Cricetulus griseus: one gene and its partner. The protein of the gene in region 2 interacts with the protein of the main gene of each other region in a pairwise test. Links are inferred from orthologs where the notes say so. Each region holds a gene or a part of one and is shown on either strand. Other genes may lie near its edges. The genes, in order: Bmx and Ptpn21.

Region 1 (3,819 bases), on a different chromosome or scaffold from region 2:
AAAATGGTGAAATGTAGGCTAACTTAGAAGTCACCTAAAAGGACTCTAGCAGCCTGTTCACAGCTTGATATTATACAGGCCTCATCCCAGAAGTAGATTGGGTGATGGAGACTAAGAAGCTGGGTTTTGAAAATATCCTCAGGTAATGCTGTCAAATAATTAGGTTTGAAAATTCATGATATAAGCCAATTCCTCAATTTGCAGACTAAAAAGTTGAGAGGTGGATTATGTAAGTGAAAAGTTATCAATTCTCAAATCCAGAATTCTTTTGCAGCTGGTTTGCTGGGAATATCTCCAGGTCACAATCTGAGCAGTTACTGAGACAAAAGGTAACTCTCTCTCTCTCTCTCTCTCTCTCTCTCTCTCTCTCTCTCTCTCTCTCTCTCTCTCTCGTGTGTGTGGTGTGTGTGTGTGTGTGGTGTGTGTGTGTGTGTGTGTGTGTGTGTGTGTGTTAGTTTGTTAAATGTGCATTCCTACTACTAGGCTACATCTTCAGCCCAAGAATACCTACCTGTCTCTGCTGTTTCTGGCTGGGCCCAGTGGTGAATGTATTCTCTGAGAAACATTATAGCTAATGTTTCAACTCTCCATGACATTGCCTGTCCATCCTTTGAGTTACTAGGGTCTCCTTTTGCCTTATCTATTGCTATAAATTAAACCACCTCAAGCTATAGGTGACACTCCAGTTACTGAGTGGCTTGCTGTCCCTTTGTCATGTACTCAATAACCTTTTCTTTAAAAATAAACCACTGCAAAACTCAGTGGCTTGAAACAAGATTTTGGATTTCTCACAATTCTGTGTAGCAGCTGATCCAGTTCCATGTTTTGCTGATGGATGGTTGAAGGTGGGTAGCTGAGACTCTCAACTTGGGTGCCACAGTCCTTCCTTATATAGCCTCTCAAGTGTCTGGTCTGGGCCATTCTCACAGAATAGAAAACCTTCCAAGAAGGGACTCTCTGCTTTAACAGCATTGACTAGTGTCCCATTGGCTACAGCAAGTCACATGACCCATCCCAAAGTCAAGGTGTGAGGAGACATCATAGAATCACCAATAGGAAAGATGATTCCATTTTTCAGGACTGGAGATGGAACCCAAATGCTAGCACATACTAGGCATGCTGTCTTAGTTACTTTCTGTTGCTGTAAAGGGACACCATGTCCAAGGCAACCAATATGAAAAAGAGTTTATTGGGATTTTGCTTACTGTTTCAGAGGGTTAATCCATGACCATCTTGGTGGAGAACATGGCAGCAGGCAAGCATGATGCTGGAGCAGTAGCCGAGAGCTTACATGTTAAGGAAGCAACCAGGAGACAGAGAGCCAACTGGAATGGTGTGGACTTTTGAAACCCAAATCCCCCACCTCCAGTAACATACCTCCTCCAAAAAGGCCATATCTCCTAATCCTTCCCAAACAGTTCCACCAACTGGGGACTAATAATTCAAATATGAGCCTATGGGGGTCATTCTCATTCAAAACAACACACATGCTCTCTACTACTGAGCTATATACCCTAAGCCCAAGAAAAATGACTTAATGTGAATTATCAATGTAATTATTTTCCTCAGCTGTTTTTCACTGTACATTAGTACCAAAACCACAGCACAGCAGATGTTATATGGAATTAATTTATTTGATTTTATTGCTAATTGGTATGAACTTGCCTGTAGTAAATTCTTTTGATCTATGAAATTGATATTTTGGTACAATTCAGTCTAATAAAACACTAAATACACAAATTACATTTTGAGATGTGCTGGATAGAATGTGATAGGTTACATGGCAAGTTATTATGTTTATAATTTATCATGTTTTTTAGGAACCTGGTATTGGTTAAAATTGGAATAAACCCTTTCAAAAGACAAATAAAGGGTATAACTTTAGTAAAGAATTTATTGTTCATTGCTAATTTTCTCAGACATTTCCAGAATTTGATTATAGTGGTGTATGCATGCATGTGGGCGCACACGCCTAAATTTTATTTCTCAAACAGGGAAACATTAAGCTTCCATAAGTAGAAAATAAAACAAAAATATTAGAGAGTTGCCAATTATCTAGAGAAGAGATAATTCGCCTAGGATGGGTCTATAAAGATACAGACTTGGCTGAGGATAAAACTCAATGGTAGAACACTTGCTTAGCAAAGGTAGGGCCCTGGGTTCCAGCCCCAGTACCAAAAAAGAAAAATGGAAGAAGGAAAGAAGGGATGTGAAGGGAGGAGGAATAGGGGAAGAGAATTGAGTGAAAAAGAAAGAAAGCTAAACTGAAGGACAATCCTTCTGTGCAACTGTTGGGTAACCTGTCCCTTTGGTGGCATTTAAAATGGATCTAAAATTATTTTTTACTTACTGCCTACATAAAAATCATTTTCAAAGTAATGAAAATCATTTCTCATTTTCAGGGAAAAGAAGGAGCATTTATGGTTAGAAATTCCAGCCAGATAGGCATGTACACGGTGTCCTTATTTAGTAAGGCTGTGAAGTAAGTACAATGTAGATTCATGTCTTTTATCCTCTTATGACTGTTTGACAACAATGACCACTTAGTCATAGTTTGAGATGTGACACCACTCTTGAACTCTGGAGTTTGAGATCAAGGTATTTGTGTTGAATCTAACCATTAGCCATTGCCTTCTTACCCTCTACTTTCAAAAGTGTGTGCTCTGAGTGACCCTCTCCTGCCCACTCCAGATGATGGCAGAGTGCTGTGAACACAACACCCCCCCCCATAAACGTTTGCTGAAACAGCAGCATGAGCCTCTTGGAGTTAGGCTTGAGCAGAAAGAACAATAGAAAATAGCAATAGCACTTCTAAATAAAAGATAAACCTGCCTGCTGAGCTGAGAAGCTTGTCCCAGTGCCCGGTTCTCAGTGAGCCTTTCCTAGGCCGTTGAACCAAGGGAGCTGTGTTATGAGTAGCTTCTGCCTGTCTGCTGCCCTTGGCAGGAAAGAGTTCTAGCTCAAAGTCAACAGCTCTTCCCAGTTCAGGCCTTTACTATATTGAGCAAATTTCTTAACTGCTCTGGACCTGAACTTCCTCATTTGAAAGGGATTCATAATAATGATCTTTAATGCATTCAAAGCAACAAGATGTTGTTAAATAAAACAGCAATGGTTACTGAAAATTAGGCCTGTGACCAATTACACATGATTAAAATTACTTCCCACATTCACATCTGTAGTCCTTGTCGAAAGATTGTGTGTCCATCAAACAGGAAGCCACAGTGTTTAAAATCACCAACCTAACCATGACTTTGAATTGGCCAAATGTAAACTAAAAGCCTTCATTAAAGGGGTACAATTTTGTATAGCTTAGTATCTGTAGTTTAATGAATTTGGATTGCTGTGCAAAGGCTGGCATTATAATTACTAGCTACTTGAATGTCTTTTTAATGTCTTTTATGTAATGTTTTAACAGTGCTAATAAAAATATGGGTTTACCTTTTTTAAGAATGATTTTTTATGTTCTAGGAAATAATTTAATACACGTATTAGATTAGGCTACTGTCTAACACATAGTGACACCTAACTAAGGAACAGTCACTGTTCATGGTGTTGCTGAAAGAGTAGTCGTCCTACTCTTGCATGCCTGACACTTAGGTGTGTAAGGGTTTTGAGAGTCATCTGTCAAAGTCATCATCATCAGAAGCCCCTCCAGAAGATGGTTTTCTTGAGACAGAGACTCACTATGTAGCCTCCAACTCTTAACTCTCCCACCTTTGTCTCCTCAGGGCTGGGATTACAGGCATACACCTTCCAGAGTTTTATAAATCACTTTCCTGGGGGCTAGTACCTCTTTTATTCCTTGTAAAGTCCCTC
Region 2 (3,819 bases):
GGGACAGTCCCAGAGGACACTGAACTCCACACCACAGCTCTGTTCTGCTATCGCCATCCTCAACTCTGCATAGAAGGCCACAACTAGAAGTGCAGTCAACACGCCTTCTTCCTGTCCCTTCAGACCTGTGCCCTACAAAGTGGGCAGTAGACCCCACTTCCAAACAGCCCCTCGCTTCCAATACCACAGCACTCACCAGCCCACAGCAGCAGACCCAGGCGTAGACCTGCCTGGAACTGGTGATGTCCAGCCATCCCACTAGATCCAGAAAGCTCTTCTCAGTGCCCCCAACAGAATGGATAGAATGCTAATGCGTGTTCTCTTAGCAAAATAATTGTGATCAGATGATGAGCAAAGGCCTGATTTCCACAATTAGGGTCCAAGCCTCTTTACACAGAACTGCTCATCTGCATCCACATCTCGGGCGTTCTGTGGTTAGAGCTTACAGACAAATGGCACACAGGTGGTTGAGATTCAGCATGGAGGCATTGCAGTGCACACACAGCTGAAGTGGCAGGAACAAGGAATTATAGCATTACAGTGAGATGCTTCAGGCAGGAAGAAAACTAAACTGTCTGGATATCTTTGGTGGTTGCCTGATGTGGTGGCACATGCCTATAACACATCGCTTGGAGACGCACGCTGGAAAATCACAAACTTAAGGGAAGCCTGGCCTAAATAAGACTAATGGGGGAGGGCTCCAGGACTCAGAAACCAGCTTAGTGAGCTGCCACTGGCTACATTTGGGGTCAGCTGAGCAACGCTCGTTCACGAAAGAACCTGAATACAACGGCTTCTTCTGGGATTCCAGGATGGCTATAAACAGGACAGTTTGGGGTACAACTGTAATAAGAAGGCATCTAGACTTCAAGATCTCTAGGTCTTTACGGAGTTACTCATAGCTATAACTGTGCGCAGCTTTGCAGACTTGGTGTACTTTACCTTGGGAAGAAGCAAATGGCTCTGAATAATGTCCATTATAATGCAGCTGGGGTGGGGGAGGCATCGCATAGGGCTGGGGTTTAGGCTAAGAAATGGAAAGTTGGACATAGAGTTAAAACACATTGCCCATGTCAAAAAGGTAAAGTCATTCTTTGCTGGACTCTTTCTCCTCACTAAAAAGACCTTCTACAGATGGTAAATGTATTATAAATGGAAAATAACTACAAAAATGAAGGAGGCCTTAGCATATCTGTCATTTTCAATGCATCCCACGTGACAAAGCCAAGCCTTAGGCACTGACACCGAGGATACTAGACAGCACAAGGAAGTCTGCATCCAAAAAGTTATGAACAAGAAAGAATAGATACAAATCTCCTTGTTGAAACTCATCAGTAGAAAAAGCTCTTATGTGTTACAAACCCTTTAAGACAAAGTCAAGTACATTAAATACCTACTTAGGATTCCAGGCTAGCCAGTTAAAATTCATAATATGTGGTTGTATCTAATATTTGAACAAGTACAATAAATATTAAGTTGGACTTATGGAAGTCACTATTTCTTTGGATAAAAATTCTCAAACACACATTTGTGGTTCAAACTCGACATACTGCCCAAAGCATATTGCAATTGAAGTGGCATCACAAGAGAGAAGAGGTGACCATGTTCCTTCTCTTACCAGAGACATCCTGGAAGATGAGCCCCTCCTGACTGGGTTCAACGTGGCAGTCTGAGTTTGCCTGTGGGAGAAGACAACTGTGAGCCCAGCACACACATGCTTCCTAGTCTACAACAATAAGCCAGCTTTAGGAGGGAAGCCAGTGTGGTGGCTCACACCTGTAACTCCATCATGCAAGAGGCTAAGGCGTGCTGGGGTTTGAGCACGGCTGTGATGCCTAATGACACCTTCACAGCTGGACAGCCTGGGCAAGAATACATCTTCAGAGTGTAAAGTACAGGAGCCAGTGATGAACAGAGGCAGCCATTCTTAGCCACTGGCATCTTGCTGGCAGCGTCCAGTGGGAAGGCAGAAGCAGAAGCCAGTTCTGCTGAAAACGAAACAAAGGGTACCACATGCACCCGCTGCACAGGCTGACCTAGGCAACCTTGCCACTCGTTTGTTCTAACCATCTGCCTCTTTTTTTCTCATTGCTCTTCTAAGTGCAGCTCAAGGAAAGGCCAGCCATCATCAACTTCCCACACAGAGGGAAAGGACTGCTGGCTCTGCTGCCCAGTCGCTTAGGATGCTTTCCGGGCTGGTAAGTAACACTGAGAAGTGAGGCCACTAACGCTCCTGGGATCAATAGCTAGAACGTGTGCACTGGAGAAGATAATGAAGAGGCTGTCAGCTCCGGTGAAGTACATGATATTGCTTTGTGAAACTGGCCAGACTGCCTGTGGTTATCTCGTGGAATCTGAACGACACCATCAGGGAGGTCCAGTCATCAGTTTTACAAATGAGGAAAGTGATACTTAGATTAAGTAGATCCCATTTGGTCACATGGCAAACAAGTGACAGAACCAGCATTTGAACAGGCAGGTCTGCTGGATGCCTGAGTAGAGTCCCTGACAGTCATTTTTCTTCTGATGTCCCTAACCCCAACTAACTCATAAGCTCCACGGGGGAAAGGGAAAGAAAACCCACTGTACGACCAGTGGGTCGTACCCAGCACATGCCTGCATACAAGCAGCCCTCAACTATGTGTTGAGCACATGAATGGCACAGTGGACGGGGACAGAAATCAATACTCAAGAGAATATTTCTCAGGTGAAATGTCTCAAGCACATGCATGTAAACCTAGTAATCCGAGTTCAAGTCCTGGATCCCACAAGACGTCCGGAGAAAACCAACTTCCAAATGCACTCCCACACACACTAAATTAACCTATTAATTTAAGACTGTTTGAGTTATCTCCCTTGCACTGTGAGCTTCTTTTCAGCTGGCCATTGGTTTACTCATGGCTAGCAAAGGACAGGCTTTGATCATGTGTCAGATGGTGGAAATACCTCAGGATGTCTGTCTCATTGACTTTCCTCCTGTGATTTCCTTAATAGGGTGATGAAAAACAAAACCTCCCCTGTTTTAGGGTAGGCCAGAGGTACATATCCAGGCCACCATAAGGTCACTGGATTCCTGCCCCAACTTGTCACTGTGGGCAAGCAGAGATAATCCCCAGAAAACAGGCAATATTGATGGCTAAGGGATGACCCCACTGCCAGTCATCTACCCAAGTACCTGCACAGAAAAGGAAGCTGTCTCACTCCAACACCAGGAGAACTCCCTGTCCTCAAGCCTTACTAGGGAGAGCAGGAGACCCACCCCACTTTGGGGGCCTGTGACAAGTCCCTCTAATCCCCCCTACAACTTCTTACCACCCTCCTCCTTCCAGGTTCTGAAGGACTCCAGCAAGTCCTCTTCAATCTTCTGGGGCCCCGTAAACTAGAAGTGAAGGAGGTCCTGCATCTTCTTCCAGTCCCTGGAGCCAACAGTCGGTCTTTTGATCACAGGAGATGGGCACTGGCTGCTATGTTCACCTACAACCTTAAACTACAAGGGCTAGCTCACTTCACTGCGCTCAGCCACAGCATGCTGCTGATTCCCTAGAGAAAGGCTCTTTCCCCTCGCTCCCCAACTTGACTTTGCAGACTAGAGGGTACAGTCCACACAGAAAGAAGAAAAAAAGCCACTAAACCAGAAGTTTCGTGCCTCATTTTTTCCTCATATAACTCAGGGAGGTTGATTACTGCCAGCCCAACTCTGGGGCTTGGGATATTAGAAGATGTTTCTGATCTGATTGACAGTACTATCTCATTTAGTTCCTAATACAGTCCTGAAGGGATGTCAAGAGAAGGTCTCGTTGTTCGTGTTTAAAAACCAAT

The links.
Region 1: the proteins of Ptpn21 (region 2) and Bmx interact in binary tests that used the Homo sapiens proteins (3 or more experiments, as listed by UniProt). The link is inferred for Cricetulus griseus from reciprocal best matches to the Homo sapiens genes PTPN21 and BMX.

What each region holds. Positions count from the first base shown.
Region 1 is NC_048604.1:99,280,937-99,284,755, reverse strand, and holds part of Bmx (cytoplasmic tyrosine-protein kinase BMX), read left to right. Parts: intron 1-274; coding exon 275-329; intron 330-2,402; coding exon 2,403-2,482; intron 2,483-3,819. UniProt on the Homo sapiens protein: Non-receptor tyrosine kinase that plays central but diverse modulatory roles in various signaling processes involved in the regulation of actin reorganization, cell migration, cell proliferation and survival, cell adhesion, and apoptosis.
Region 2 is NC_048598.1:106,994,043-106,997,861, reverse strand, and holds part of Ptpn21 (tyrosine-protein phosphatase non-receptor type 21), read right to left. Parts: intron 1,680-3,819; coding exon 1,619-1,679; intron 1,028-1,618; coding exon 943-1,027; intron 1-942.